Linked DNA regions of Macaca fascicularis. The protein of the gene in region 1 interacts with the protein of each later gene in a pairwise test. Links are inferred from orthologs where the notes say so. Each region holds a gene or a part of one and is shown in the gene's direction. Other genes may lie near its edges. The genes, in order: LDOC1, BYSL, RAB29, TNNT1, NRIP1, LATS1 and FOSL1.

Region 1 (4,258 bases):
TAGGCCTTGGCTGCAACTTTGCTCTTTATTCTGAGGTGAAACTACTGGAGGATTTTGAGCAGGGGCGTGAAGGGATCTAACTGTTTTTGTTTGTTTGTTTGTTTGTTTTTGTTTTTTTTTTTTAGAGATGGAGTCTCGCTTGGTAACCAAGGCTGGAGGAGTGCGCTGGCGCTATCTCGGCTCACTGCCACCTCCGCCTCCCGGGTTCAAGCGATTCTCCTGCCTTAGCCTCCTGAGTAGCTGGAACTACAGGCACCTGCCACCACTCCCCGCTAATATTTTGTATTTTTAGTAGAGACAGGGTTTCACCCTGTTAGCCAGGATGATCTCGATCTCCTGACTCGTGATCCGCCCTCCTTGGCCACCCAAAGTGCTAGGATTACAGGCGTGAGCCACCGCGCCCGGCCCTAATTTTTGTTTTAAAGGATTCCTGTGGCTACTCTATGGAGAATATACTATAGGAAGAAAAGAGTGAAAGCTAAGTGATTAGTTGCAGCAGTCTGGGTGAGAAAGGCTGGGGATCAGGGTGGCAGTGGTAGAAATGACAAGTCATGACTGAATTGGCAATATATTTGAAAGCAGAGCCAACAATTCCTGTCGGCTCTAGGATCAGGGATCCGTTTAAAGTAGAAAAACAAAATTATTTAAAAACACAAACATCTTAACAGTTCATTTTTAAGTACAGAATAAAACCCAGTGGCCAAAGGCACTAACAGCAGGACAAGAAATAGAGAATCAAAGATATGTGGGATGCCTGCAATTGATTATTGGATGCTCATTTTGCAAAACTTCTTTATATCCTGCTACTTAGGTTTGTTTTTTTTTGTTTGTTTGTTTTAAGGGAGTATGCCGTATTATTCCCCTACTAAAGAAGTCACTGTTTAAATACTGCCTTTTTCATGAAAGGCAGGAACCCCTGAAGGTCTTCATGATCCTAAAAGGAAGTGTGAGTCCCACAGTGCAGCCAGCAGTGTCAATACTTCTCTGAGTGAGATTTAAACAAGAAAGAAAATGTGTTAATAAAACATCACGCCAAGAGAATCTAGTGGCCACAGACCCACGAAGGAACAACTGAGTTGTGAGAGTTGCCTAGGTAGAAGGGTGGCTAATCCTTTCAGTTTGAACAAATTTGCCTTCTCTGAGACCAAACTCAGCGCTCGCCAGGTCCTCTGCTAACGCAGGCCCCACAACCAGGAGCTAGGGGAGCCTACCCCAGCCTTTAACTGCCCGCCTAGAGACCTACCACAAGCCGGTGGTTCAGCGACCCAGTGCATCCTTTTCCTGGCCACGCCCTCTTTGTCTAAACCCTTCCCATCCCGGCCACGCCCCCACGCAGCCGCGGCCCCCAGTCTGGCCACGCCCCTCCCGCGCCGCGCCGGCGCACCATCCGTCCGAATGGCCTCGTGGGCGGAGCTTGCGTAGCCTCCCGGACCCCGGCGCGCACCGCCCCCCGCCCCCAGCCCCTGGCCATCGAGCGTCTCCGTGGACACGCACTTCCTGCGAGGCCTCCGTGCGCACCTTGGCCGAGCCGAACCGAGCCGAGCCCTGTCCTTCCAGGCTGTTCGCAATGGTGGATGAGCTGGTGCTGCTGCTGCACGCGCTCCTGATGCGGCACCGCGCCCTGACCATCGAGAACAGCCAGCTCATGGAACAGCTGCGGCTGCTGGTGTGCGAGAGGGCCAGCCTGCTGCGCCAGGTACGTCCGCCGAGCTGCCCGGTGCCCTTCCCCGAAACGTTTAATGGCGAGAGCTCCCGGCTCCCCGAGTTTATCGTGCAGACAGCGTCTTACATGCTCGTGAACGAGAACCGATTCTGCAACGACGCCATGAAGGTGGCATTCCTAATCAGTCTCCTCACCGGGGAAGCCGAGGAGTGGGTGGTGCCCTACATCGAGATGGATAGCCCCATCCTAGGTGATTACCGAGCCTTCCTCGATGAGATGAAACAGTGCTTTGGCTGGGATGACGACGAAGACGACGACGACGAGGACGAAGAGGATAATTACTAGGCCCTCGGGCCTCGGGGGGAGGGCCCTGCACGCCGTCACCCCCTCCCCGCAGCCCTCACCCCGCCAGGAGCCACTGCTCTCCCCCTTGCCCTCCGGTCCCCTTCCCTACCCGCGCCCGTCTGCTCTTTCTTCATTTCTCCGTAGTGCTTGTCTTTGTTCCAGGAATAGTGCTCCAGTTACCTGCTGCTGGGGTTGGGGCTGGAGCCTCACTCACTCGGAAGTGCTTGGAAGTGTCATCTACCCTGGCCATCCCGGGGATCCCTCCCCTGCTAATCTGAACTGTGTCCTGAACCCCAGCTATTGGCCAGGCCCCTGTTACAAACTGCGCAGACCACCCATAGCCCTGCTGCTGCCACCTGCCCTGCTGCCAGGCTTACATCTGCCCAGAGAACTATGCTGCCACTTCACATCCACTCACCACATCCCACCTACAGACTACCGCCTTTCGAGATCAGGACCAACCTGGAAAATGCCAGAGTTGGCTCTGCCTCTTCGGACATTGATTTGGACAGCTCACCAACCCCTGAAGAGGCCAATCATTCAGCCTGGTTAGTTTTCTACCTACTCCGAGTGTCCTCCCCTGCCATACCAGATTGCTGCAGGGGCGCGGTGTGCCTGACAGCCAAATTGTTGATATTTCTTTTTTCCTATGCACTGGTTTTACACAGCTGTCATTTTTCTTTCAAAATTGCAGCAGTCCCACAGATGTATGCATTTGGACAAATAGTACTAAAAACAAAACAAACAAGCACTCAGCCCAGCTCCTCAATACTACCTGGAAAAAGCATTGGCATTATTTTCAATAAATATCAAGCACTAAAAAACGAAATGACTGTCTTTTAATAGTTAAGTGCTATCACTGACCTCTAGAACTGTCACTGTGACTACCGTTATTCCCATGGAAATCAGGGAATACAACCAATCCTAGGAATCCCTGCTGTCAACTCCAGGCTGCTGGGGACAGCTACCTCAGGGCTTTGTCAGGGTTCTGATGCTTCCTTCACCAACGCATTTCTTAAAGCCCTGGCAAAGGGTGTGTTCTCTGGGTCCTCCAGGGTGGCATGGGTAAGGGTTGGCTGAGCAGATGGCAAAGAGGGCAGTATTAATAATTAGACCATAACAACAGGCATAAACCAGGACATATATATGTATTGCTCCTAATTCTCTGAGCTTTTGGATTCCTTAATATTGTGCCAGGGAAGTTCTGCCCCTTAATCCTTATTGCCTATATGCAGCTGTTGAGTTCAGGCTCCAGAGAGCCAACATAGTACATTGTCACTTTCAAACTCCAAATAGCCAACATGTCACTTACAGGTGCTCTAGCTAACATTAAGTCCCAGATCCTGGGCAAGTGCATCCATAAAGATATACCCTGATCTTAACAAACATTTCATCCTCCTTGGGCAGACATCCTTAGAATTTCCACTCATAGATGTGTCCCAGATTCCTCCCTATGGAAATTAGCAAGATGCTTGGTTATCTCTTAAATCAGACTTTGTACTGCTATCTGGGGGCTATGCTGAGATCTCTGGGCCTGGAGGGTTCAGAGCAGTGAAGGGGGTGGCTGCTGAGAAGAAACTGCATACCTGTGTGAGGCCATTGCCCCAGGTTAAGTCATTGAAATGTTTAATGCAGAGCAGCTTGGTTGGGGATTTGACAGGACTACCTCTTAGAAAGGTTTAGGAGGATGTGAGGGGTTCAGAGTTCTCATTTATATCTGTCCAGATGTCCTCCCTCATTGTACCATGTCTGGAGCCAACTTCACTTTATAACCTTTAATTAATTTAGATAACACATTTCCTTACTGTTTAAGGCCTTTTGAGGCAAGATATTTCATTTGTACTGGTAAACCTCAGTGTTGATTAAATGAGATATGGGGCTTCATATTAATCACCTGATAGGTGTGGATTATATGAGATCATACCCATGCAGCATTTAGAACTTTCCCTGCTACATGGTGAGCACTCAGTAAACCATGGGCTGTTACTCCTGGGCCTGGGGACAGAATTCTCAGGAAGCAAGTCTCTGGCTCTGAGCGTGGCTTTAGTAGGAAAATGTCAGCGTAAAGAGGAGCAGAGCAGGTTCAGCGATAATGGAAATGAGAGCATGATAAGACCCCATTTACTTTTTGAAGTCTTATATGAAGCAAGAAACAAAGCTGTTTACGTGGTGAACAGGCAAAGTTCAGGGTAGGAATTATATCTCACACCTAGGATAGCTGTTTCTGGAGGGTGGGGACAGGGGTGAGTA
Region 2 (3,500 bases), on another chromosome or scaffold:
GGAAAGGGCCCTGGAGTTGCTAGTTGTAGGGGACCACCTTGACAAAACTGGCCCATCCTCAGCAGACCACTGTGAGTGGGAATGACCCAGCCTCAGAAAACATTGTATCCTTCTGTCCATTTATTGTACAACTGCCCAGTTGCCAGGGAAACAGCTCCAGGCCCGTTTTACACCTCTGGGGAGAGCCATCCTATTGCATCTGGTTTTGGTATTCTTGGTTTTTTTAGTGGTAAGCTCAACTTCCTTGGACAAGTGTTCATATCCTAAGCTTCATTTAAGCCAGGGTTTTTCAACCTCAGCATTATTGACATTTTGGGCTGGGTAATTTTATATGTGTGTGGAGGCTATCCTGTGCAGTGTAGGATGTTTAGTAGATATCTCTGATCTCTACCTTCTAGGCTCCAGTAGCAACCTTCCCTCTAATTATGAAAACCAAAAATGACATCAGACGTTGCTAAATGTCCTCTGGGAGGCAAAACTGCTCCCAGTTAGGACCACTAATTTATTCCCATCTATAATAAATGCTGGCTCCAAAACATGCAGGCATTTAGACTGCCTGTGGTCAAACTCCTGAGCCCATAAATTTTGGCCGTGGGGAGTGGAGTCTAGGATAAGGGTCCTCAACCAGTTCATTCTGACCCTGTGATACTAACATAATGGTGTCCCTGATACTTTAGATTGTTTGGGGTTAATGCATCTCTCATTGCTAATTGTACTGTAAAAGCACAAGGAGGCTGATAAATTCTGTGGCAACTTATTTGAAAATGCAGAATGAAGAAATAAAAATGAGCTCCTCTCCCAGATTGATGCCTAACAGTTGAAATATGTGTCACAAAATACGTACTCGGGCCTGTCCCACCAGAGAGCCTCTCAGGTTCTCATTCAGCACCTCATAACTCCTACTTCACTGATAACGCTGACAAATTTAGCAGAATGCTTTTCCAGCTTGCAGTAAATAGAATAGACAAGCTCCTTGAAGTAATCAGAACTTCTGGCAGTTGTAAGAAATGATAGCTGGCGTCTTCAGAAAGCAAGCCTAGATCCACATGAATTCAACAGAGGCCATTTAGTTTGGGGGCACATTATAAGGTACTATAAAGCATCTTAACTTAAGACTTTCAAAAACCTGAGTTTGACTCTTAACCCCACCTGACGGCTGTGAGGCCCAGTTGCCATGTCTGCGTAAGTTTCCATGTCCTATAAGTGTTGCACTGACTCTGGGACTGAAAAGTCCCAGACTCAGTGCCTGGCGTTGAGTAGGACCTCAGAAAAGAGGAGCAGTTTGTTTTTTGTTTTGTTTTGTGACAGGGTCTCACTCTGTAACCCACACTGGAGGGCAGTGGTGTGATCTCAGCTCACTGCAACCTCAACCTCTCGAGTAGCTGGGATTACAGGCGCACACCACCACGCCTGGCTACTTTTTGTTTTATTAGTAGAGACGGGGTTTCACCATGTTGGCCAGGCTGGTCTCAAACTCCTGACCTCACGTGATTCACCTCCCTCAGCCTCACAAAGTACAGAGATTACAAACACGAGCCACTGCACCCAACTGAGGAGCTTTAAATACATGTCAGTCTGGGCATGGTGGCCCAGACCTGTAATCTCAGCACTTTGGGATCCCAAGGCAGGAGCCCAGGAGTGTGAGACCAGCCTGGGCAACATGGGGAGACCCCATCTCTACAAAAGAATAAAATACGGCCGGGCGCGGTGGCTCAAGCCTGTAATCCCAGCACTTTGGGAGGCCGAGACGGGCGGATCACGAGGTCAGGAGTTCGAGACCATCCTGGCTAACCCGGTGAAACCCCGTCTCTACTAAAAAATACAAAAAAAAAAAACTAGCCGGGCGAGGTGGCGGGCGCCTGTAGTCCCGGCTACTCTGGAGGCTGAGGCAGGAGAATGGCATAAAAACCCGGGAGGCAGAGCTTGCAGTGAGCTGAGATCCGGCCACTGCACTCCAGCCTGGGCGACACAGCGAGACTCCGTCTCAAAAAAAAAAAAAAAAAAGAATAAAATACTAGCTGGGCCTTGTGCTATGTGCCTGTGGTCCCAGCTACTTGAGAGACTGAGGCAGGAAGATCGCTTGAGCCAGAGAGATAGAGGCTGCAGTGAGCCGTGATGGTACCACTGCATGCCAACCTGGGCAACAGAGCTAGACTCTGTCTCAAAAATAAATAAATAAATACACTTCAGCAGCCTCTGAAGGCACTGGTATTATATGACAGCTCAAGGTGATAGTAATGCTGAATCATTAAGATAATGTTTGATATACCCAACAATACTGTGTTTAAGGAGGCTGAAAAGAACATAATCAGTTTTAGAAATACTTCCATAGATACACTGCTGTGTACTGACCGTTGCAAGTAATGAACAGACATTAACTTATTTAATCCTTCCATTAATCTTTTAAGGTAGGTACCGTTATTATCCCTATTTTACAAATGAGGAAACAGAGGCATAGAGAGGTAAAGTAACATGCCCAAGATCATACAGGGAGTGGGTAAGCCAGGATTTGAACCTGCGCAGACCGATTTCAGAATTGAGATTCATAATAACCTCCATACAACTGCCAGCTTTGTCCTAAATGGAATGACTTTCAGTTCCTTTGCACCCTGCAGTGATTCTGTCTGTGGTGGATGAATGGGCACAGAGAGGGAACTCTGAGCTGCGCATCCCAGCAGGATCGCAGTATGTCAGTGCTCACAAGGGACTGTGGGGAATCTGGAGCTTCCTGGACAGTGACCACAGTGCTCCTTCCTTCCTCTCTCCCCTCCCCTTGGCACTTCCCCTCTTAGGCGCACCTTGGCTGACATCATCATGGAGAAGCTGACTGAGAAGCAGACAGAGGTTGAGACAGTCATGTCAGAGGTGTCGGGCTTCCCTATGCCCCAGCTGGACCCCCGGGTCCTAGAAGTCTACAGGGGGGTCCGGGAGGTAAGAGCTGAGAGGGGAGCCACAGTGGAAGACCCCTTTGGGGGCTGTGGGCTCCCGCCACAGGCTTTTGCCTTTTGCCTGCATCTCATACTAAAGAAGTCATGGCAGTAGAAAACAGACCTAAGAGGCAGAGTGTGTGGTTTCAGATTCCTGCTCTGCCTGTAAATGACTTGGCAACCTTGGGTCAGTTACTGGAACTCTCACTGGTCATCTGTAAAACGAGCATAATAATGGCACCTCCTTAAAGGGTTATTGTGGGGATGAAATGAGTTAATATATTAAAAGCACCCAGACAAGTTCCTAGCCCACAGCAAGCTTGCCATATGTGGATGACAATGATTGTTTTACCTCCCTCATCCCTAGGTATTATCTAAGTACCGCAGTGGAAAACTGCCTAAGGCATTTAAGATCATCCCTGCACTCTCCAACTGGGAACAAATCCTCTACGTCACAGAGCCTGAGGCCTGGACTGCAGCCGCCATGTACCAAGCCACCAGGTAGAGTAGATGGGGATTTGCAGGCCTTGGGTCTATAGGTGTAGGCTGGGCTTGGGACGGGCAGGCTTTCCT
Region 3 (4,243 bases), on another chromosome or scaffold:
CAGAATCTGAAGTCTACATGGAGGGAAGAAATAATGAGACCAGTGACAGAAATAGGGAAGCTGAGAAAAGGAGCTATTTTTGTGGCAATGTAGTAAGAGGAAGGATGTGGCAGGACATCCAAGTGGAGGCACCTTTTGGGCAGCTGAGTATCACTGATCAGAGATAAAGAACAATAAAGTGAAGACAGATCTTTGACACCAAGGACAATTCATTGAAGAGTTTATAGAATCATTGACTCAAAGACCAAGAATAGAGCTTCAGGAAATACTTAGAGGGAAATGGGATGGCGAGAAACCTGAAAGAAAAGGATAATCATCGGAGAAGTAGGGGGATGACAAAGAAAGAGCAGTGTCATAGAAGGCATAAGGGAAACAAATGTCAAGGAGTGGTCAAATATGTCAAAACGAATAGGAACAGAGAAAATTGGATCCTTAAAGATGAGTAGCCTGGCCTAACCTCCTGTACCTGAGTAACAAACATTCTGGGCAAAATATATTGTGAACCACGCTGATGTTCTTTCCCCACAAAACATAAGTGATAGCCTCTCTATCAAGAGACCTAGGTAAGATTTCATAGTGTCTGGTCCTGGGCTGTTTTCCCATGGCCCTGCTGGTTCTCTTCTTCTGTTTCTAGAAAAAGTCTAGAAAATGGAGCTCTCTTTGCTTGCCATTGAGCTCATGTCCTGCCAACTCCTACCTAAGTGACAGGCAGGTCAGTAAAGTTTCAGGCTGAAAAATTAAAATTATTTGCCAAACACTAGTTTTATGATTATCTATTAACAACAGCCACAATGAATCGAGAAGGATTCCCAGTGTATTTCAATTAGCCTCTACCTCAAGTGATACATGAGTAGTATGGTTAGAATAGGCATTGCAGAAGTATGAATGGGGAACTGTCTCTTGTTTTCTGTCTATCTTTATTGTTATTGCTGGATATTAAATGCTGTAACTTTTGGCATATGTTTTTCCAAAGAATGGTCTCTTGGGTCAAGTTTTCCTGAACTTGCCTGGTATTGGGCAAGTTCATACAGAAAATATGAGTCATTTCACAAAGTCCTGGGCTTGTCTATCTATTTGAAGGAATAGGAAATGGACTTCACTTGGAGCATTATGGATGAGGCTTGGACTTTTACTAACGAAATAAGTTTTAATCTTAACTCCGTTAAACCTTTAAAGACAGGAGAAGACTATCTGGGGATGGATTCAGGCCAGTGAGATCACGTTGCACAAATCTCCTCTTAAGTGACCTTAACTGACCCAGAATTGTTTCAGAATAAGATTCCGAACTGTTGAAGGAGTTTTGAAGCCTTGAAACTTTGTGTAGGTTGGCTTAAAACGAAAAAAAGAATACACTACATTTCCCAGGAGGCTTCGCGGGTGAGCCTCCGCACTCGGCTGGTTCTCTTTACCGCGAGGAAAGCTGGGGAATGTAGTGCTCCAGGCAACCCTGCACGTGACGCTGGCGGAGGAAGGCTAGAGAGAGGCGCGGGACGACGTCTAGGGAATAGAAAGGTACCGGCTGCTCCTTCCTGACAATTTGGTATGTGCTGCAAGGGGAGGGTCCTCATCATCTGGCCCCAGTGGTGTAATGAGCTGACTGGGATTCAGTCACTGACTCGGAGCCGCTCCGGGAAAGTCCTGGTGGGGAGGTTCCGAGGCGCCTGGTCCCGTTTCTCGGCAGTCAGGCCAGGAGGGGGTGGGGAAGGTGCGAACAGCCGGGGGCTCGGAGCTTGCGCCCTGCGCCCCACCCAGGTTGCGGCCGCCGGGGGAGGAAGCACGTATAGTTTGAGTGCAAAGTTTCCTTTTTTGCTTTCTCGTCAGAGCAGCCCACACAGGCGGTGGGTGGGAATGCCTCACTTCAGTTTGAAGAGGGTCCGGAGCCAAAGGGGTTAAAACAAGCGACTCCCCCACTTCCCGCCTCCCTAAAACGCACGCCCCGCTAGCCATGGGCAGCCGCGACCACCTGTTCAAAGTTCTGGTGGTGGGGGACGCCGCAGTGGGCAAGACGTCGCTGGTGCAGCGATATTCCCAGGACAGCTTCAGCAAACACTACAAGTCCACGGTGGGAGGTGAGACGTCTTTCGGGGGAGGGGGAGGAGGAGGCCTCGACCGCGGACTCGAGCTGGGGACCCAAGTGGGATCCGGATTTGCTGTCGGTTGTTGGGTCCTTCTTCGGGTCAGGAAGTACTGTCTGGGAACCTAAATGGTGTAATTGCCGGGTGTTTCGTTTACAAGCCTCTCTTGAGTTTCCCCAGTTAGATTTTTCCCAACCTGACCCCACTGCCAGGAGAAAGGTAAGAACAAAGGCTTGAAGATGAGAAATAGGGAAGGGAGGATGAGGATAAGCAATTGCTGTTTATTGCAGGCGCACTGTGAACTCAAGTCTCCAGCCTTTCAGCTGTCTGGCATCTCTCCAATCAGCAGAAGCAGCTGAGATCCTCTGGGGGCCTCCTGGTTAGGTGCCGGCTGGGGCTGTAGTTCTGCACCTCTGTTGAGGAAGGAACCGCAAGGTGTTTAACCTGGCTTCAGTGGGAGAACGCAGGAAGCGGAACTGGTCTGAAGGACTCTAGCTTTGTTGTGGGGCTGTGGGTGGGATGGAAGACACAAAATCCCCAAACGAGCCCCTTGGCTACGCAGTCAGATGCCCATGAGGGCTGATGAGCTGTGTTTTTGTCCGTTGATTGCTTAAATAAAAGTAACCAAGGAATTCTTCGAAGAATGTGAAATATACCACTTCTCTGACCTATCTTCCCACCACTTTTTCCTCAAACTGAAGAAGGTAGGGAGGAAGAGAACACTGAGTTCATTCCTTTCTTTCCCGGGTATGGCCTTTTTACTCAACTATTTTTTCAGAGGTAGAAATGCCTTATTGTTAATTAGAAGGTATTTAGGAAGAGCTGGTGATGGGGGAGAGTAACTTAAAATTTTCTCTCTTAAAAGAACTTGTTTTAAGGGGAGAAAAACGTACCAATGGAAAAAGTGAAAATGTGTGCTCCTGTTCATATGGAAGTTTAAAAAGAAATTAAGCATTCACATTGCAATTAAAACATTCTCCTTAAGAACCCCCAGTAGGGCCCAGTGCAGTGGTTCATACTTGCAATCCCAGCACTTTAGGAGGCTGAGGCAGGAGGATTGCTTGAGCCCAGGAGTTCGAGAGCAGCCATTGGAAACATGGCAAGACCCCACCTCTACAAAAATTAAAGAAAAAAGTAGCCGTGGTTCCAGCTACTCCGGAAACTCAGACTAGAGGATTGCTTGAACTCAGGAGGTCGAAGCTTCAGTAAGCCGCGTTCGCACCACTCACTGCACTGTAGCCTGGGCAACAGAGTGAGACCCTGTCTCAAAAACAAAGGAACAAAACATTAAAGTCTGGCAAAATTAAAGGTTCAAAGTTTCAGACACACTATCCTGACCTCTCTGCCCTTCCACTCCTAAATAATATAAGGGTCCCTATTTCACGGATTTGGGTTAAAATTGGCCTTCTATTAATAGTTAATTTTTAACAATTGCTGTAGTTTTCCTTTAACAAAGAATATAATTGACTCTGGCTAATTTTTTTTTTCAGTGTTTAGTCTAAATTTCCCTTAGTTTTGATTCCTGTTACAGATGTGAAAGATAATATTTCCAAACCTCAGAAATTACTGTGTTTCTCTCCTTAGCCAAAAGCTTTTCCCCATGGAATACTTAGCCTTAAGGAGTCTCAGCATCTGCAGACTTTGTGGTAGATTCCAGCAGGACTCTTCAGCAACATCCACACAGTGTCTTCTTGGGACTCCTCTGGGACCTTTTCCGTTTATTCCATTCTTGCCCAAGATAATACCTGCAACCTTATGGTGGATGTAGAGTTCCCCAGGGTGTGTTGTTTTCATAATACAATTTGATTAGAAACCAGCAGTGAAATTGAATGTGGAAGATACAGAAACAACCACACTTGTCTCATTTCCCCCTTCTCCCCCATCACCCCTTCCCTGAGAAAACCCCCTAAATCTCCCAGAAACTGTTTAACCTGAGAATGAGAGTTGTTTTCATAGTTACTCCCACCCCCAGTCTTGGAGACAAGTAGTAGCAAACAGATGAGCTTGACAGGAGAGTAAAAGCTGGAAACCCCTTTGGAGAGTGAGTATGAACCATCCATCTCACACTTAATACACATGTGTGGACTCATCTCAGTGAATTGAGGGCTTAAAGATAAACATGGGATTCGAGTTGTGTGTCCATCGGGTTGTCACTGCCTATTTGATTT
Region 4 (3,500 bases), on another chromosome or scaffold:
TGGGCGACAAGAGTGAAACTCCATCTAAAAAAAAAAAAAAAAAATGGAGGGAGGGAATGGACTGACAGGGATTCCAAGGCAAAGGGACAGGATTTGGGGATTGTTGGGGCAAGGGGAGGGAAGCAATGGGGGCAACCCCTAAGGGTCTCTTGGGCTGGGGAACAGAGTGGACAGTGGGGCTGCCATCTCCTTCTCAGAGAAGATGGTGAGCTCCATCAGGACGTCGTGTGTGGGAAGGTGGGAAAAGTTCAGGAGATACCTGCTAACTTGAGTCTGGGGCTTAGGAGAGAGTCTGGACCAGAGACACTTGGCGAGTCCTCAGCAGTTGACAATACCAGAAGTCATTGGAGTGAATGGCATTGATGATGAGAAAAGGGAAAAGGGAGGCTCCCTGGCAGCTCACGGGAGTGTGGGGGGCCAGGAGACAGGGATGGAACAGCCCCGGGGGTGGGAGGCAAGCCAGTATTTATTCCTGTAAAATATGGTGAGCTGTATTGTCTTCCCACACATGACGCCCCGAAGGAGCTCATCAACTTTTCCAAGATGGAGATGGTAGCCCCACTGTGCACTTGGCTGCCTGGCCCAGAGACCACTGGGGATTGTCCTCACCTCCTCCCTCCCCTTGCCCAGCGACCCCTAAGTCCTGTCCCCTTCATCCTGGAATCGCTCTTGGTTGTCTCAGAAACCCAGAAAAGAGAATTCCAAGGAAGTGGCAGGAAATCAGAGCAGGCTGAAGGCTGAACCTCAGAGCAGCACCACCCAATAGAATAGATGGCAAGACACACACATCACTTACAATTTCTTACTAAAGGCCGGGCACGGTGGCTCACGCCTGTAGTCCCAGCACATTGGGAGGCTGAGACAGGCAGATCGCCTGAGGTCGAGAGTTCAAGACCAGGCTGGCCAGCATGGTGAAACCCCATCTCTACTAAAAATACAAAAATTACCCAGGTGTGGTGGCAGGCGCCTGTAATCCCAACTTGCTAGGCATACCTTTTTTTTTTTTTTTTTTTTTTTTTTGAGACGGAGTCTCGCTCTGTCACCCAGGCTGGAGTGCAGTGGCCGGATCTCAGCTCACTGCAAGCTCCGCCTCCCGGGTTCACGCCATTCTCCTGCCTCAGCCTCCCGAGTAGCTGGGACTACAGGCGCCTGCCACCTCGCCGGGCTAAGTTTTTGTATTTTTTAGTAGAGACGGGGTTTCACTGTGTTAGCCAGGATGGTCTCGATCTCCTGATCTCGTGATCCGCCCGTCTCGGCCTCCCAAAGTGCTGGGATTACAGGCTTGAGCCACCGCGCCCGGCCTGCTAGGCATACTTTTAAAGTACAGCAACAACATAGGAAAATTTAATTTTCATAGCACAGTTCTAAAAATCTGTTACATAAATTTTTATCATTTCAACATGTAATCAGCATAAAACATGATTCTGTGCGTTTCACTGACAGCCTGCCTCAGTTGGGACCCTCCACGTTCAGGGGGCTGGCGGCTACCTCACCAGGCAGCGCATCCCGGAGGTGGGAGGTGGCTCAGGGAGGTCGGGCCACTCATGGTCTCTATGTTTCCGTCCACCCAGCCGCCCCGTGGTGCCTCCTTTGATCCCGCCAAAGATCCCCGAAGGGGAGCGTGTTGACTTCGATGTAAGTGTCAGAGACCCCTCCCCAGGCGCAGTTGCTAGTCTTCAAGGGGCTTTTGTTTCAATCATGAAAAGGCGCCGGGCTGGGCCGCGGTGGCTCACGCCTGTAATCCCAGCACTTTGGGAAATTGAGGTCAGGAGTTCGAGACCAGCCTGCTCAATATGGTGAAAGCCCGTCTCTACTACAAACACAAAAATTAGCCGGGCGTGGTGGCGGGCCGTCTGTAATCCCAGCTACTCGGGAGGCTGAGGCAGGAAAATCGATTGAACCCGGGAGGCGGAAGCTGCGGGGAGCTGAGATCGCGCCATTTCACTGCAGCCTGGGAGAAAAGGTCCCCACTCCCCACTCCCCACTCCCGTCTTTGGGCAGCTCTGTCTTTGCAAGAGCTGATTAGTGTCAAACACGAGGCATTGCTGCCACCTGCTGGACACCACCTGGGAAACGGTCCAGTTCACCGTCCTGCATGGGGGAGGCGCTGGGAGGCCGCTGCCCTCTCCAGGGTCTCCCAGGACTGACTCCCCGTGTGTCCTGCAGGACATCCACCGCAAGCGCATGGAGAAAGACCTGCTGGAGCTGCAGACGCTCATCGACGTGCATTTTGAGCAGCGGAAGAAGGAGGAAGAGGAGCTGATTGCCTTGAAAGAGCGCATTGTGAGCCGAGAGTCCGGGTGCCCCCCAGTCTTCCTCTCTCCACGTGGATCCCTTGCATCTTGGGAGATGCAGATAATGGTTTTCCTTCTAGTACAGAGCTGAGCCTGAGGCTTTCGGGAATTCATCCAAGTCGGTGGCCACACTCCAGCCTGTTTATCTCCACTCTTCGCCTACTCTGGGGAGGGATGACTGGGGGTACGTCCCTGCACCTCTTTATTCTTCTCCGTTCCCCAGGAGCGGCGCCGGTCGGAGAGAGCCGAGCAACAGCGCTTCAGAACTGAGAAGGAACGCGAACGTCAGGCTAAGCTGGCGGTGGGTGCCTGCCCTGCCCTGGGAGTCCAAATGTTACTTCTTCAGCCAGATGCCCATTTTGTTGTTGTTGTTATTATTATTACTATTATTATTATTATTTGGAACTGAGTCTAGCTCTGTCACCCCGGCTGGAGTGCAGTGGTGTGATCTCAGTTCACTTCAGCCTCTGCCTCCCAGGTTCAAGCAATTCTCCTGCCTCATCCTCCTGAGTAGCTGGGACTACAGGTGCTCCCCATCACGCCCGGCTAATTTTTGTATTTTTAGTAGAGACAGGGTTTCACCATGTTGGCCAGGATGGTCTCGATCTCCTGGCCTCGTGATCCACCTGCCTCAGCCTTCCAAAGTGCTGGGATTACAGGTGTGAGCCACCGCGCCCGGCCTATTATTATTATTATTATTGTTGTTGTTGTTGTTATTTTGAGACAGAGTTTCACTCTCGTCACCCAGGCTGGAGTGCAATGGCGCGATCTCGGCTCATTGCAACCTCCGCCTCCCAGGTTCAAGCAATTCTCTTGCCTCAGCCTCCTGAGTAGCTGGGATTACAGGCCTGCGCCCCCACACCTGGCTAATTTTGTTTTTTTAGTAGAGACGGGGTTTCTCCATGTTGGTCAGGCTGGTCTCGAACTCCCGACCTCAGGTGATCCGCCTGCCTCAGCCTCCCAAAGTGCTGGTATTACAGGCATGAGCCACCACACCCGACCTATTATTATTATCTATGTATTTATTTGGAGGCAGGGTCTTGCTCTGTCACCCAGGCTGACGTGCAGTGGCGTGATCCTAGCTCACTACAGCTAGGACCTCCCGGGCTCAAACGATTTTCCCACCTCAGCCTCCAGAATCGCTGGGACTACAGGCATGCGCCACTCTGCCCGGGTATTTTTTTTTTTTTAATTATTATTTCAATT
Region 5 (4,010 bases), on another chromosome or scaffold:
GAAGAATATAGAATAGGAACTGGATATATTTCCTGAATCCACTACAACCTACTACAACAATTACTTTTAATAAAATTGACACTGAATTGTCAAGAAAATGCTAAATGATGTTCAATAAACCGCTTAAGAGAAACATTTGCAATACATTGTAGAAAAATCTTTGTATTATGGTTAAAAATAATTTTCGTAAAAAAAGTTTGACCCCCACTAAGGGGCCAAGCTCCAATTACGCTGGTCATCATTGAAACGGTTTGCTTTGTATCAATTCTGAATAAATGATGCACTAAAAAACAGCAGCCTTTACTAATTTGCCTACAGCAGATTTTGAATTGTGGTATATGCAAATAATATGGTATTATATGAGGTTTAACTTTTTAAAATGGCAACAGATTGCATAGTTCAATCAGTAGGGTGATGTAAAATAATTGTTTTTAAAAGTGCCATTGTCACTAAGGAAAACATCGGTACCATGTGCCCGGCACTGTGCTAGGTGCTGAATTTATTAAGCATTAATTTGAAAAATTGCTTTCACTTTCAAGACTGTGACAGTATTCTAAAACTCTCATTCATATTTTTAAAGGTTAAGTGAAATTTGCAGTACACAATACAGCCATTACATAACAGGCATAGAATACAGTTTCATGACTTGGATAGTTGTTGTTTTTTAAGCGCATTAGCAACTCCATTTTCAAATGCTATCAAATTCTTCAGGATATAAAAACCTACATGTAAGAATGGAGTGCCTCATCGGCTCATTTGTCTTATGTAATAAGTGTTTTAACACAGTCATGCCATTTCAGAATTTCGGGTGAGACTAAGCTATACTTTAGCTTTTTTGTGTCAAGCAAAAACAATTTCAGCAACAACATTGGTTTCCCCTGGTAATTTTTTTCATGGCGAATTACTAAATGCTGGATGCTCAAGTCAAAAAGAAACCTGACATCTGGGGAGGTGTTGAGGGGGTGTTAATAGTTCTAGGGAGATGTTTGGGGAGCGCTGAGGATACGATTTTTAAAACAGCAAATACACGGATAAGGGGAAATTATGGTTTCGTATGACTCTCTCCTCCCTCCACTTTCTCGTTTCAGCAGTCTGTAGCCCCCCCAATTTAGAGGCGGGTTCAGCGAGATTAGGCTGCAGGAAACCAAGAGGCTCCACCGCGCTGCCGCCCCGGCCTCGTGATGTAATTGTTATTTCTTATTCGGAGACTGAACCGAGGAGAGCTGCTGAAGAAGTAGCAGCTCTGCTCCTTTTGCCTTGTCTGGTTCCCGGGGATGATGTAGATTGGCTGACAGACTCCGCTGGAGACTTCGCAGTGACAAAGCAGCCGAGGATTAACCCTGCTCCTGGGTCCTACGTCTGTCCAGGGAGCTGAGCGGGGCGCTCCTCAGGTCTCCTTCCTAGTTTTCCTCCCGGAGTCGCTCCACATGAGGGCTGGGTGCCTACTACGTGCTGGGCGTGGGGTCAAAGTGACCCAGAGTTCGCGCCCGCGCCCCCCACGATTAAAGCAGGACACACAGATTACAAGGAGATAGAAATTGGGTGGGGGGTGAAAGGGGGCCCAGGGAGCGCGTGTTGTGGGGTGAAGGGGAGGAGGTAGACTTTTAAGGCGCCAGCACCCAGGCGGGGACCCTGGGGCGTCTGGGGTGCCCCGGTCCCCAGGCTCTGCCCAAACGGGAGCATTCGGCCTGGGTCCCGAGAGCGCTTCCCCGGGTTCCCAGGAGGAGCTGTCCAGGCGCCTGCAGCGGTCGCGGGCGGCTGGACAGAGCTGGGAGCCCGGAGGACGGCCAGGGCGCGCCGAGCAGCCCCTCTCTTGGGGACGCGGTCCTTTCGCTGCCTCCGGGCCCTGCAGCCCCGTCTGAGCCACCCGGAAAGCAGGCGAGGAGGAAATCCACGAACCATAGGGGGCTCCGCAGCTACCGCGAGCGGCCCGGACCCGCACGGCTTCCTCCTGACCGGCTGACAATGGGAGGGAGGGGGAGAAAAGGGTTAAGAAACTTGGCTGAAGAGCTGAATGGCGTGGGGCGGCGAGGGGAGGGACTGGGCCGCGGCGGACTCGGCGGCGGAGGGAGGAGCGCGGCTGCGGGCGGGCGGGCGGCGAGCGAGGCGCTCAAAGTCAGCCTCGCAGACATTGCAGCAGAGCCCCGAACTCGGGAGGCGGCGGCGGAGGAGGCGGCGGCGAGGCGCAGGGACGATCCGGCCCCACGCCCGCCCGCCACCCGCGCGCGCCCGTCCGCCCGTGGCCTCGCGTCCGCCGCTGCGCCGGGAGCGCCGCTGGTCGGAGGGAAGAGCTCGCCGGGGTGCCGGGCCAGGACGGGGCGGCAGGCGCCTTCGCGGACCGAGCCTGACGGAGCCGGAGGCTGGGAGCCGCGGCGGCCTGGGGTGAGTGACGGCCGCGGCCAGGGCGCCCAGAGTAGCGGCCGCCGGCGCCGCCGGAAACGGCCCCGGAGCGCGGCCCGCGTCGGCGCTGGCTTGGCGGGCAGGGCCGCGGGGGCGTCGGGGCGGCGGGGGCAGCGCGGCCGGCCGCGGGCGCGCACGGGGCGGCGTGGAGGGCGCGTTTCCGGGGAAATCCTGCCTCTGCTGCCTGGTTCGAGTCTCCCCGGGTTCTCGCGGGGGGCCGGGGCGGCGGGCCGGCAAGTTGTGGAGTGGCCCCGGGTCGGCCCGCCCGTCCGTGCCAGTTCTGGGCAAGGGGGCGGCCGTCGCGTGGCCCCTGCGCGGGGTCGGACACTGGAGCTCGGGGGCCGGGTCGGGGTTGCCCCTCGCTCGCCTGCCCTCTTGGTCGCGAACCTCGGGCACCGCTCGCTGCGCCGCTCTCGATCCTGCTGTCCAGCCGGATCCTGGGCGGCGCCTTTCGCCTGGGTGCCTGCCTGCTCCGTGCTTGCTGGATACCCGGCTGGGAAAGTGAATAGGAAAACGGACAGCTCGCCCGGCCCCCAACGGACCCCAGGCCCGCTCTGCCCGCACTCGCCGTCCCCCCCGGATGGCGTGGCTCACGGACCCGAGGCCTCAGCCATCATTTTACCAGGAGCCAGGGGCCGGCCCCCATTTAGGGTGAGCCCCGTGGAAGTCCGGGAGGCTGCCCTTTCTCCCTTCTGCTGTCCCCACCTTACTACTATTGCATATTGTTTTATGAAGGTTTTCGTGGACGTATTCTGCAGACCCTCACATCCCTTCCAAAGTAGTTTCCCAATTTTAATCAGGAGTTGGTGTTCAGTCTGAAGGAACAAAGGAACCAACTGTGTCTTAGAGGCGGACAGGCTGGGAGTCTGTGACACATGTTGATCTCTGAAGCATTCCAGGAGTTTCTACCTTTTATCACGTCAGTAATTGGCTGCTGAAGGTAGTAAAAGAAGTACGGAATGATAAGCACTTTTGCTTTTTAAAAATATTTTTTAATGGCACATTTTACTTTGGGGGAAAGAAGACGTTCTTAGGCACAAGGATTTTTAAAAACTCGGCCGGTGGAACTGAGGTGGAGTTTGTCTCTGGTATTGTAAATGATTACATGTGGGATTGTGAAGGAAATTGTGTCGTTAGAGGAAGAGAAGCCATCTGTAGGTGTCCGTAGTAAAAAATGGTTGTCGGATTATAGGTGATCAATGCTCTTTCTGTTTCTTGGGAAAATTTGTGAAGCAAGGGGCTTCGGTAATTCATTCTTTAAAGTTATGAATTGCATTGAATGCTTATTAGTGAATCATAGGTTTAGTAAGTGGGTGGCATTATTCAATGTTTAATCATCAGTTTTCCACCTTTGTGGAAGAGATAGTGAGATAATAGACTTTTTAAACAAATGGTGTTTCATCTGCTTAGCCCGTAAGTGTCGGTTGCCGCCTGGTGTATGTTGAAATGTTTTCACCTTCGAAGTAAGTGAATTGCTCTGCTTTTGCCCAGCAGTTTGGTAATGTCGATAGGGTTTATTTGGTTCAGGGGAGCGCTGGCTTCATCGCCTATAGTAACTTTTTTTCTGCCTGGGCATAGTTCCTAGAGACAAAGAAGGAGAATCAATTAGT
Region 6 (3,500 bases), on another chromosome or scaffold:
AGTCACATTTGTCACATCACCCTGTGTTGATTCTCTGTGTAGGGTATGTCACTGTTCCTTATATGTGTAATTGTTTGTTTTGTTTCTTTTCCTACTAGAATGTAACCAGAGCTTTGTCTTATCACTGTCATTTATTGAATGAAACACTGATCTAATTTGTTTGAAAGTTTGTCCAGAGTAGTACCAGGGAGTGGGCTAAATAACAAACTCTTAATCTCCCCATGACTCATATTGTTGTTATTTAACATTGAATAAATTGCTAAATCTTAGACTTTTTTTTTTTTTTAAGTGTAAAATCATTCCTATTGACATCTCAGAAAGCAGGCTGTAATTGGTAATAAACACCATCCGTGATTTGGCATACATTGTGTCTTAGTTTGTCACAAGGGAGAATGTTGTTAACCCTAAACCATGATGTCAGAAGATTAAATAGACTTCAGGTTTACTGTTGTCCTTGTTGATTTTATTTATTTATTCTTTTGTTGTGCAGGTGACCATCCACGGCAAGATAGCATGGATTTCAGTAATGAATGGGGGGATCCCTCAAGCTGTCGATGTGGAGACAGATTGAAGCCATTAGAGCGGAGAGCTGCACGCCAGCACCAGCGATGTTTAGCACATTCTTTGGTTGGGACTCCCAATTATATTGCACCTGAAGTATTGCTACGAACAGGTAAAGCACTTCTTTCATATAAAATCTCAGTAGGCCTTTAGGCCAGCCAAAACAACACTAGAATATGCCTTATTTTTCAGGCTTATAATAAAAGTATTAATTTTACAGTATAAATTGGTGATTTAATGTTAATTTTTATTGTATTCTGAGCATTTTTAAAGTGCTTCTAAATAACTAACTTTGGTATCTTATTTTAGGATACACACAGTTGTGTGATTGGTGGAGTGTTGGTGTTATTCTTTTTGAAATGTTGGTGGGACAACCTCCTTTCTTGGCACAAACACCATTAGAAACACAAATGAAGGTAAGGTATGGCATCTATATCAAAAGAATTCTCACAAAGTTGCTACGTCATTGACCTTTATTTATTAGTACTTAGAGCATTTTAGTCTGGAGTTAAAGAATGAGCTTGGGCTGGGTGCAGTGGCTCATACCCATAATGCCAGTGCTTTGGGAGGTTGAGGCAGGAGGATTGCTTGCACCTAGGAGTTCAAGATCAGCCTGACAATGATGTGAGACCCCATCTCTACAAAAAAAAAAAAGTTTAATTTAAAAAAGGAAAAGAATGGCCGGGCGCGGTGGCTCACGCCTGTAATCCCAGCACTTTGGGAGGCCGAGGCGGGCGGATCACAAGGTCAGGAGATCGAGACCACGGTGAAACCCCGTCTCTACTAAAAATACAAAAAATTAGCCGGGCGCGGTTGTGGGCGCCTGTAGTCCCAGCTACTCGGGAGGCTGAGGCAGGAGAATGGCGTGAACCCGGGAGGCGGAGCTTGCAGTGAGCCGAGATCGCGCCACTGCACTCCAGCCTGGGCGACAGAGCGAGACTCCGTCTCAAAAAAAAAAAAAAAAAAAAGGAAAAGAATGAACTTGTAAGGGTATATGAACTCACTAAAATTGCATGTGTGAACTCCAGTCTCCATGATGCCATATCCCCATAATTTTGTATCCCCCCTCACTCATACACCATACTCATATATCATTCTCAAAAAGGTCTTTAGGCCAGGCACGGTGACTCATGCCTGTAATCCTACCACTTTGGGAGGTGTAGGCGGGTGGATCACCTGAGGTCAGGAGTTTGGGATCAGCCTGGCCAACATGGCAAAACCCTGTCTCTACTAAAAATACAAAAATTAGCTGGGTGTGGTGGCGGACACCTGTAATCCCAGCTACTTGGGAGGCTGAGGCAGGAGAATCCTTTGAATTCCGAAGGCAGAGGTTGCAGTGAGCCAAGATCTCACCATTGCACTCCACCCTGGGCGAAAGAGCGAAACTCCTTCTCAAACAAAACAAAACAAAACAAGCCTTTAGTCCATTTTGAAGATTTGTTCACTGCTTGTCACCTACTGCCTCCTGGCTTTGTCTCCTTCTATGCAAACTACAAACAAATGTTTATATCCCCATTTGAAAATACCTCTGGCACTTAAATGAGAAGCTACCCACAATTTTGACCATACACTGTCTGATTTAATACCCTTTGGTGATTCCTTTGTCCATGGGTTAAAGTTGGAATTTGCCCTCCGTTCATACCATTCCCTCTGTCTGGAATGTCCTACTTCCATCTCTCTCTTCTATAACCCTTCCTCCTTTCTGAAGTCTAATTAACTCCTGGTCGTTCTCTCTCTCTCTCTCTCTCTCTTTTTTTTTTTTTATACAGAGTCTTGCTCTATCATCAGGCTAGAGTGCAGTGGCGTGATCTCAGCTCACTGCAACTTCTGCCTCCTGGGTTCAAGTGAGTCTCGTGCCTCAGCTTCCCGAGTAGCTGGGATTACAGGCACGCGCCATCACACCCAGCTAGTTTTTGTATTTTTAGTAGAGACGGGGTTTCACCATGTTGGCCAGGATGGTCTCAATCTCCTGAACTCATGATCCACCCACCTCGGCCTCCCAATGAGCCACTGCACTCCGCCTCCTGATCATTCTTAATTATTCTTTGAGGGCCAGACATGATGGCTCATGTCTGTAATCCCAGCACTTTATTTTGAGATAGGATCAAAACATTTCACCAAGGGTGGAATGCAGTGGCATGATGTTGTCTCATGCAACCTCTGTCCTGGCTCAAGCAACCTATCTTAGCCTCCTGGTAGATGGGACCACAGGTTCTTTTTTTAAAATTTTTTGTATATTTTTTTTTTTTTGTAGATACAGGGTTTTGCCATGTTGCCCAGGCTGGTCTCAAACTCCTGGGCTCAAGTAATCCACCCACCTCAGCCTCCCAAAGTGCTGGAATGGGTGCAGTGGCTCACACCTGTAATCCCAGCACTTTGCAAGGTCGCAGCAGACAGATCACCAACAAATGGTATTGAGAAAACTGGTCAGCCATATACAAAAAAAATGAACATCAGGTCAGGTGCAGTGGCTCACGCCTATAATCCTAGCACTTTGGGAGGCCGAGGCGGATGGATAACCTGAGGTTAGGGGTTTGAGACCAGCCTAGTCAACGTGGTGAAACCCCGTCTCTACTAAAACTACAAAAATTAGCCAAGTGTGGTTGGTGCATGCCTGTAATCCTGGGTCCTTGGGAGCCTGAGGCAGGAGAATCACTTGAACCCAGGAGGCAGAGCTTGCATTGAGCCAAGATCGTGCCACTGCACTCCAGCCTGGGACGACAGAGCAAGACTCTGTCTCAAAAAAAAAAAAAAAAAACTGAGCCTCACACCTTTACAAAGATTAACTCAAATTGAGTCACATATATAGATAAAACTTAAAGGTATAATACTTTTAGAAGAAAACATAGGAGAAAATCTTTGTGGGCTTGGGTTAGGTAAAGAGTTCGTAGAAATGACCCCAGAATCATGACCCATAAAAGAAAAAAGTTCATCAAAAC
Region 7 (3,500 bases), on another chromosome or scaffold:
GGGAGGCTGAGGAGGGTGGATCACCTGAGGTTAGGAGTTCAAGACCAGCCTGGCCAACATGGCGAAACCTCATCTCTACTAAAAATACAAAAATTAGCCAGGTGTGGTGGTATATGCCTGTAATCCCAGCTACTTGGGAGGCTGAGGCATGAGAATCACTCGAATCCAGTAGATGGAGGTTGCAGTGAGTCGAGATCAGGCCAATGCATTCCAGCTTGGGAAAGAGTGAGACTCTGTCTAAAAAAAAAAAAAGGCCGGGCACGGTGGCTCATGCCTGTAATCCCAGCACTTTGGGAGGCCGAGGTGGGCAGATCATGAGGTCAGGTGATCGAGACCATCTTGGCTAACACGGTGAAACCCCATCTCTACTAAAAATACAAAAAATTAGTTGAGTGTGGTGGCAGGCACCTGTAGTCCCAGCTACTCAGGAGGCTGAGGCAGGAGAATGGCGTGAACCCGGGAGGCGGAGCTTGCAGTGAGCCAAGATCAGGCCACCGCCCTCCAGCCTGGGCGACAGAGCCAGACTCCGTTTCAAAAAAAAAAAAAAAAAGGCCGGGCGTGGTGGCTTACGACTGTAATCCCAGCACTTTGGGAGGCCGAGGTGAGCGGATCACGTAGTCAGGAGATAGAGACCATCCTGGCTAACATGGTGAAACCCCATCTCTACTAAATATACAAAAAATTAGCCAAGTGAGGTGGTGGGTACCTGTAGTCCCAGCTACTTGGGAGGCTGAGGCAGGAGAATGGTGTGAACCCGGGAGGCGGAGCTTGCAGTGAGCTGAGATCGCGCCACTGCACTCCAGCCTGGGGGACAGAGCGAGACTCCGTCTCAAAAAAAAAAAAAAAAAAAATCTTTGCATATTCTCAGTGAAAAAACAAGAATCTATATAAAGTACTTGGCTGGCACATAGTAGGTTTCCAACACATTGCAACTTAATCAGCAGCACTCATTATCCCCTCCTAGTGCTTACAGCTCTTGGAAGAGGAGACTTGGTTGTCCAGAGATCCAAAAGGATGAGGGTCCTGCAAAGAGGGCGCTGAGGGGGAAAGGTCACTTCTGGCTGGGGAATAAGAGGGCTTCCTGGAGGCAGGAACATCTTAGTTGAGTCCTGAGAGATAAGGAGGGTTAGGGTTTGTGGAAGGGGAGGGCATTATGGGAGAGGAATGTGCACTAAAGCTAGGTGCGAGGAGGAAATTTTACCAATCCAAGCAGACAGTGCCTCAGTGCAGAGAACTGGTTGGGTGCAGTGATCCCTAAATCACTAGCTGAGGGGGCCCTGCCATGACCTCTCTCAGGGTCCTACCACTGGGCCACCGTGAGGGGCGAGTTCCAGGCAACCAATGGCCCAGGGTCCTCCTCACTGCCAGTCTCACCCCCAGATCAGCCCTGAGGAAGAGGAGCGCCGACGAGTAAGGCGCGAGCGGAACAAGCTGGCTGCGGCCAAGTGCAGGAACCGGAGGAAGGAACTGACCGACTTCCTGCAGGCGGTGAGCACCAGCCCTGGTCCACCGAACTCTGAGGGACCCTGTCTCCCAGGAGCCCCCAAAGCCCCAGTATATGTAGCCCCTTCCCCACCATCCTAGCTCCTTGTCCGAGGGGCAGTCCTGGGCAAATGATGAGGAAAAATTGATTAAAAACTGGCTGCAGCATGTCTCACTGGAGGCAGAGCAGAGCTGAGGCTCAGCCAGCAATCTCCTTGTTTTTTTTTGAGACAGAGTCTTGCTCTGTCACCCAGGCTGGAGTGCAGTGGCGAGATCTCGGCTCATGGCTTACTGTGACATTTGTCTCCCAGGCTCAAGCAATTCTCATGCCTCAGCCTCCTGAGTACTGGGACTACAGGGACCTGCCACCCTACCCGGCTAATTTTTATATTTTTAGTAGAGACAGGGTTTCGCCATGTTGGCCAGGCTGGTCTCAAACTCCTGACCTCAAGTGATCCACCCGCCTCAGCCTCCCAAAGTGCTGGGATTACAGGCCTGAGTCACCGCCCGGTGCCAGCAATCTCCTAAAACGCCTGGGCCTGATGGGAGTCGTGCCCATTTTCTCCCAGGGGCTCATGGGAATTGCAGTCCAGACTTGCTGGAGACTCTCCACTGCCCCCCCTCTCTCCCCACCCAACCCCAGCTCCTCAGAACCCTGAGTCCAAACATCTGAGGCTCCAGGATATTCAGCCCTCACCTTCCTGACTCCTCTCCTGATCTTCTACAGGAGACTGACAAACTGGAAGATGAGAAATCTGGGCTGCAGCGAGAGATTGAGGAGCTGCAGAAGCAGAAGGAGCGCCTGGAGCTGGTGCTGGAAGCCCACCGACCCATCTGCAAAATCCCCGAAGGAGCCAAGGAGGGGGACACAGGCAGTACCAGTGGCACGAGCAGCCCGCCAGCCCCCTGCCGCCCTGTACCTTGTATCTCCCTTTCCCCAGGGCCTGTGCTTGAACCTGAGGCACTGCACACCCCCACGCTCATGACCACACCCTCCCTAACTCCTTTCACCCCCAGCCTAGTCTTCACCTACCCCAGCACTCCTGAGCCCTGTGCCTCAGCTCATCGCAAGAGTAGCAGCAGCAGCGGAGACCCATCCTCTGACCCCCTCGGCTCTCCAACCCTCCTTGCTTTGTGAGGCACCCGAGCCCTACACCCTGCAGGTGCCACCCTAACCAACGTCTCCTCCCCTTCCCCCACCGGTCCAGCTGGCCTGGACAGTATCCCACATCCAACTCCAGCAGCTTCTCCATCCCTCTAATGAGACTGACCATATTGTGCTTCACAGTAGAGCCAGCTTGGGGCCACCAAAGCTGCCCACTGTTTCTCTAGAGCTGGCCTCTCTAGCACAATTTGCACTAAATCAGATACAAAATATTCCCCATTTGTGCCAGAGAATTCCCGGGAGCCCAGAGACTTTGTAGATCCTTAGAGGTCCTCTGGAGCCCTAACCCCTTCCAGGTCACTGCCACACTATCCATCACCCTCTTCCTGTGATCCACCCAATCCTACCCCCTGACAGAAGGTGCCACTTTGCCCACCTAGAACACTAACTCACCAGCCCCACTGCCAGCAGCAGCAGGTGATTGGACCAGGCCATTCTGCCGCCCCCTCCTGAACCGCACAACTCAGGAGGTGCCCACGGCTTCTGTGATGAGCAGATCTGCCGATCTCAGCTTTGAGAAGCCTTCAGCTCCAGGGAATCCAAGCCTCCACAGCGAGGGCAGCTGCTATTTATTTTCCTAAAGAGAGTATTTTTATACAAACCTACCAAAATGGAATAAAAGGCTTGAAGCTGTGGCCTGAGCGCCTCACCGGACCCCAAAGCCAATGGGAGAGTATTTGAGTCGTAAGTCCCAGCCTTAGCTCTACAGACTCACTGCATGACCTTGGACAAATTATTTGATATTTTTGGACTTTGTCTTATCTGACAAGTGGGGCTACATCCGCTCGGCCTCATCTCCAGGAATGAGAGGAGAGAGTCCTCTGGGGTAAAAGCGAAGAGGCTTACCGTCCCT

What was found.
Region 2: the proteins of LDOC1 (region 1) and BYSL interact in binary tests that used the Homo sapiens proteins (3 or more experiments, as listed by UniProt). The two-hybrid records come from large-scale screens. The link is inferred for Macaca fascicularis from reciprocal best matches to the Homo sapiens genes LDOC1 and BYSL.
Region 3: the proteins of LDOC1 (region 1) and RAB29 interact in binary tests that used the Homo sapiens proteins (3 or more experiments, as listed by UniProt). The two-hybrid records come from large-scale screens. The link is inferred for Macaca fascicularis from reciprocal best matches to the Homo sapiens genes LDOC1 and RAB29.
Region 4: the proteins of LDOC1 (region 1) and TNNT1 interact in binary tests that used the Homo sapiens proteins (3 or more experiments, as listed by UniProt). The two-hybrid records come from large-scale screens. The link is inferred for Macaca fascicularis from reciprocal best matches to the Homo sapiens genes LDOC1 and TNNT1.
Region 5: the proteins of LDOC1 (region 1) and NRIP1 interact in binary tests that used the Homo sapiens proteins (3 or more experiments, as listed by UniProt). The two-hybrid records come from large-scale screens. The link is inferred for Macaca fascicularis from reciprocal best matches to the Homo sapiens genes LDOC1 and NRIP1.
Region 6: the proteins of LDOC1 (region 1) and LATS1 interact in a two-hybrid assay, tested with the Homo sapiens proteins (2 studies listed by BioGRID and IntAct). The two-hybrid records come from large-scale screens. The link is inferred for Macaca fascicularis from reciprocal best matches to the Homo sapiens genes LDOC1 and LATS1.
Region 7: the proteins of LDOC1 (region 1) and FOSL1 interact in binary tests that used the Homo sapiens proteins (3 or more experiments, as listed by UniProt). The two-hybrid records come from large-scale screens. The link is inferred for Macaca fascicularis from reciprocal best matches to the Homo sapiens genes LDOC1 and FOSL1.

The regions. Positions count from the first base shown.
Region 1 is NC_088395.1:147,494,918-147,499,175, forward strand, and holds the start of LDOC1 (protein LDOC1), read left to right. Parts: upstream 1-1,458; 5' UTR 1,459-1,567; coding exon 1,568-2,008; 3' UTR 2,009-4,258. UniProt on the Homo sapiens protein: May have an important role in the development and/or progression of some cancers.
Region 2 is NC_088378.1:129,638,889-129,642,388, reverse strand, and holds part of BYSL (bystin), read left to right. Parts: intron 1-2,792; coding exon 2,793-2,931; intron 2,932-3,294; coding exon 3,295-3,428; intron 3,429-3,500. UniProt on the Homo sapiens protein: Required for processing of 20S pre-rRNA precursor and biogenesis of 40S ribosomal subunits. May be required for trophinin-dependent regulation of cell adhesion during implantation of human embryos.
Region 3 is NC_088375.1:63,614,038-63,618,280, reverse strand, and holds the start of RAB29 (ras-related protein Rab-7L1), read left to right. Parts: upstream 1-1,443; 5' UTR 1,444-1,540; intron 1,541-1,821; exon of another isoform or gene 1,822-1,826; 5' UTR 1,827-1,945; coding exon 1,946-2,069; intron 2,070-2,365; exon of another isoform or gene 2,366-2,510; intron 2,511-4,243. UniProt on the Homo sapiens protein: The small GTPases Rab are key regulators in vesicle trafficking. Essential for maintaining the integrity of the endosome-trans-Golgi network structure.
Region 4 is NC_088393.1:63,012,151-63,015,650, reverse strand, and holds part of TNNT1 (troponin T, slow skeletal muscle), read left to right. Parts: intron 1-1,571; coding exon 1,572-1,635; intron 1,636-2,166; coding exon 2,167-2,283; intron 2,284-2,517; coding exon 2,518-2,595; intron 2,596-3,500. UniProt on the Homo sapiens protein: Troponin T is the tropomyosin-binding subunit of troponin, the thin filament regulatory complex which confers calcium-sensitivity to striated muscle actomyosin ATPase activity.
Region 5 is NC_088377.1:32,171,500-32,175,509, forward strand, and holds the start of NRIP1 (nuclear receptor-interacting protein 1), read left to right. Parts: upstream 1-1,210; 5' UTR 1,211-1,391; intron 1,392-1,899; exon of another isoform or gene 1,900-1,967; intron 1,968-4,010. UniProt on the Homo sapiens protein: Modulates transcriptional activation by steroid receptors such as NR3C1, NR3C2 and ESR1. Also modulates transcriptional repression by nuclear hormone receptors.
Region 6 is NC_088378.1:57,660,849-57,664,348, reverse strand, and holds part of LATS1 (serine/threonine-protein kinase LATS1), read left to right. Parts: intron 1-490; coding exon 491-673; intron 674-870; coding exon 871-977; intron 978-3,500. UniProt on the Homo sapiens protein: Negative regulator of YAP1 in the Hippo signaling pathway that plays a pivotal role in organ size control and tumor suppression by restricting proliferation and promoting apoptosis.
Region 7 is NC_088388.1:8,507,024-8,510,523, forward strand, and holds the end of FOSL1 (fos-related antigen 1), read left to right. Parts: intron 1-1,380; coding exon 1,381-1,488; intron 1,489-2,209; coding exon 2,210-2,620; 3' UTR 2,621-3,313; downstream 3,314-3,500.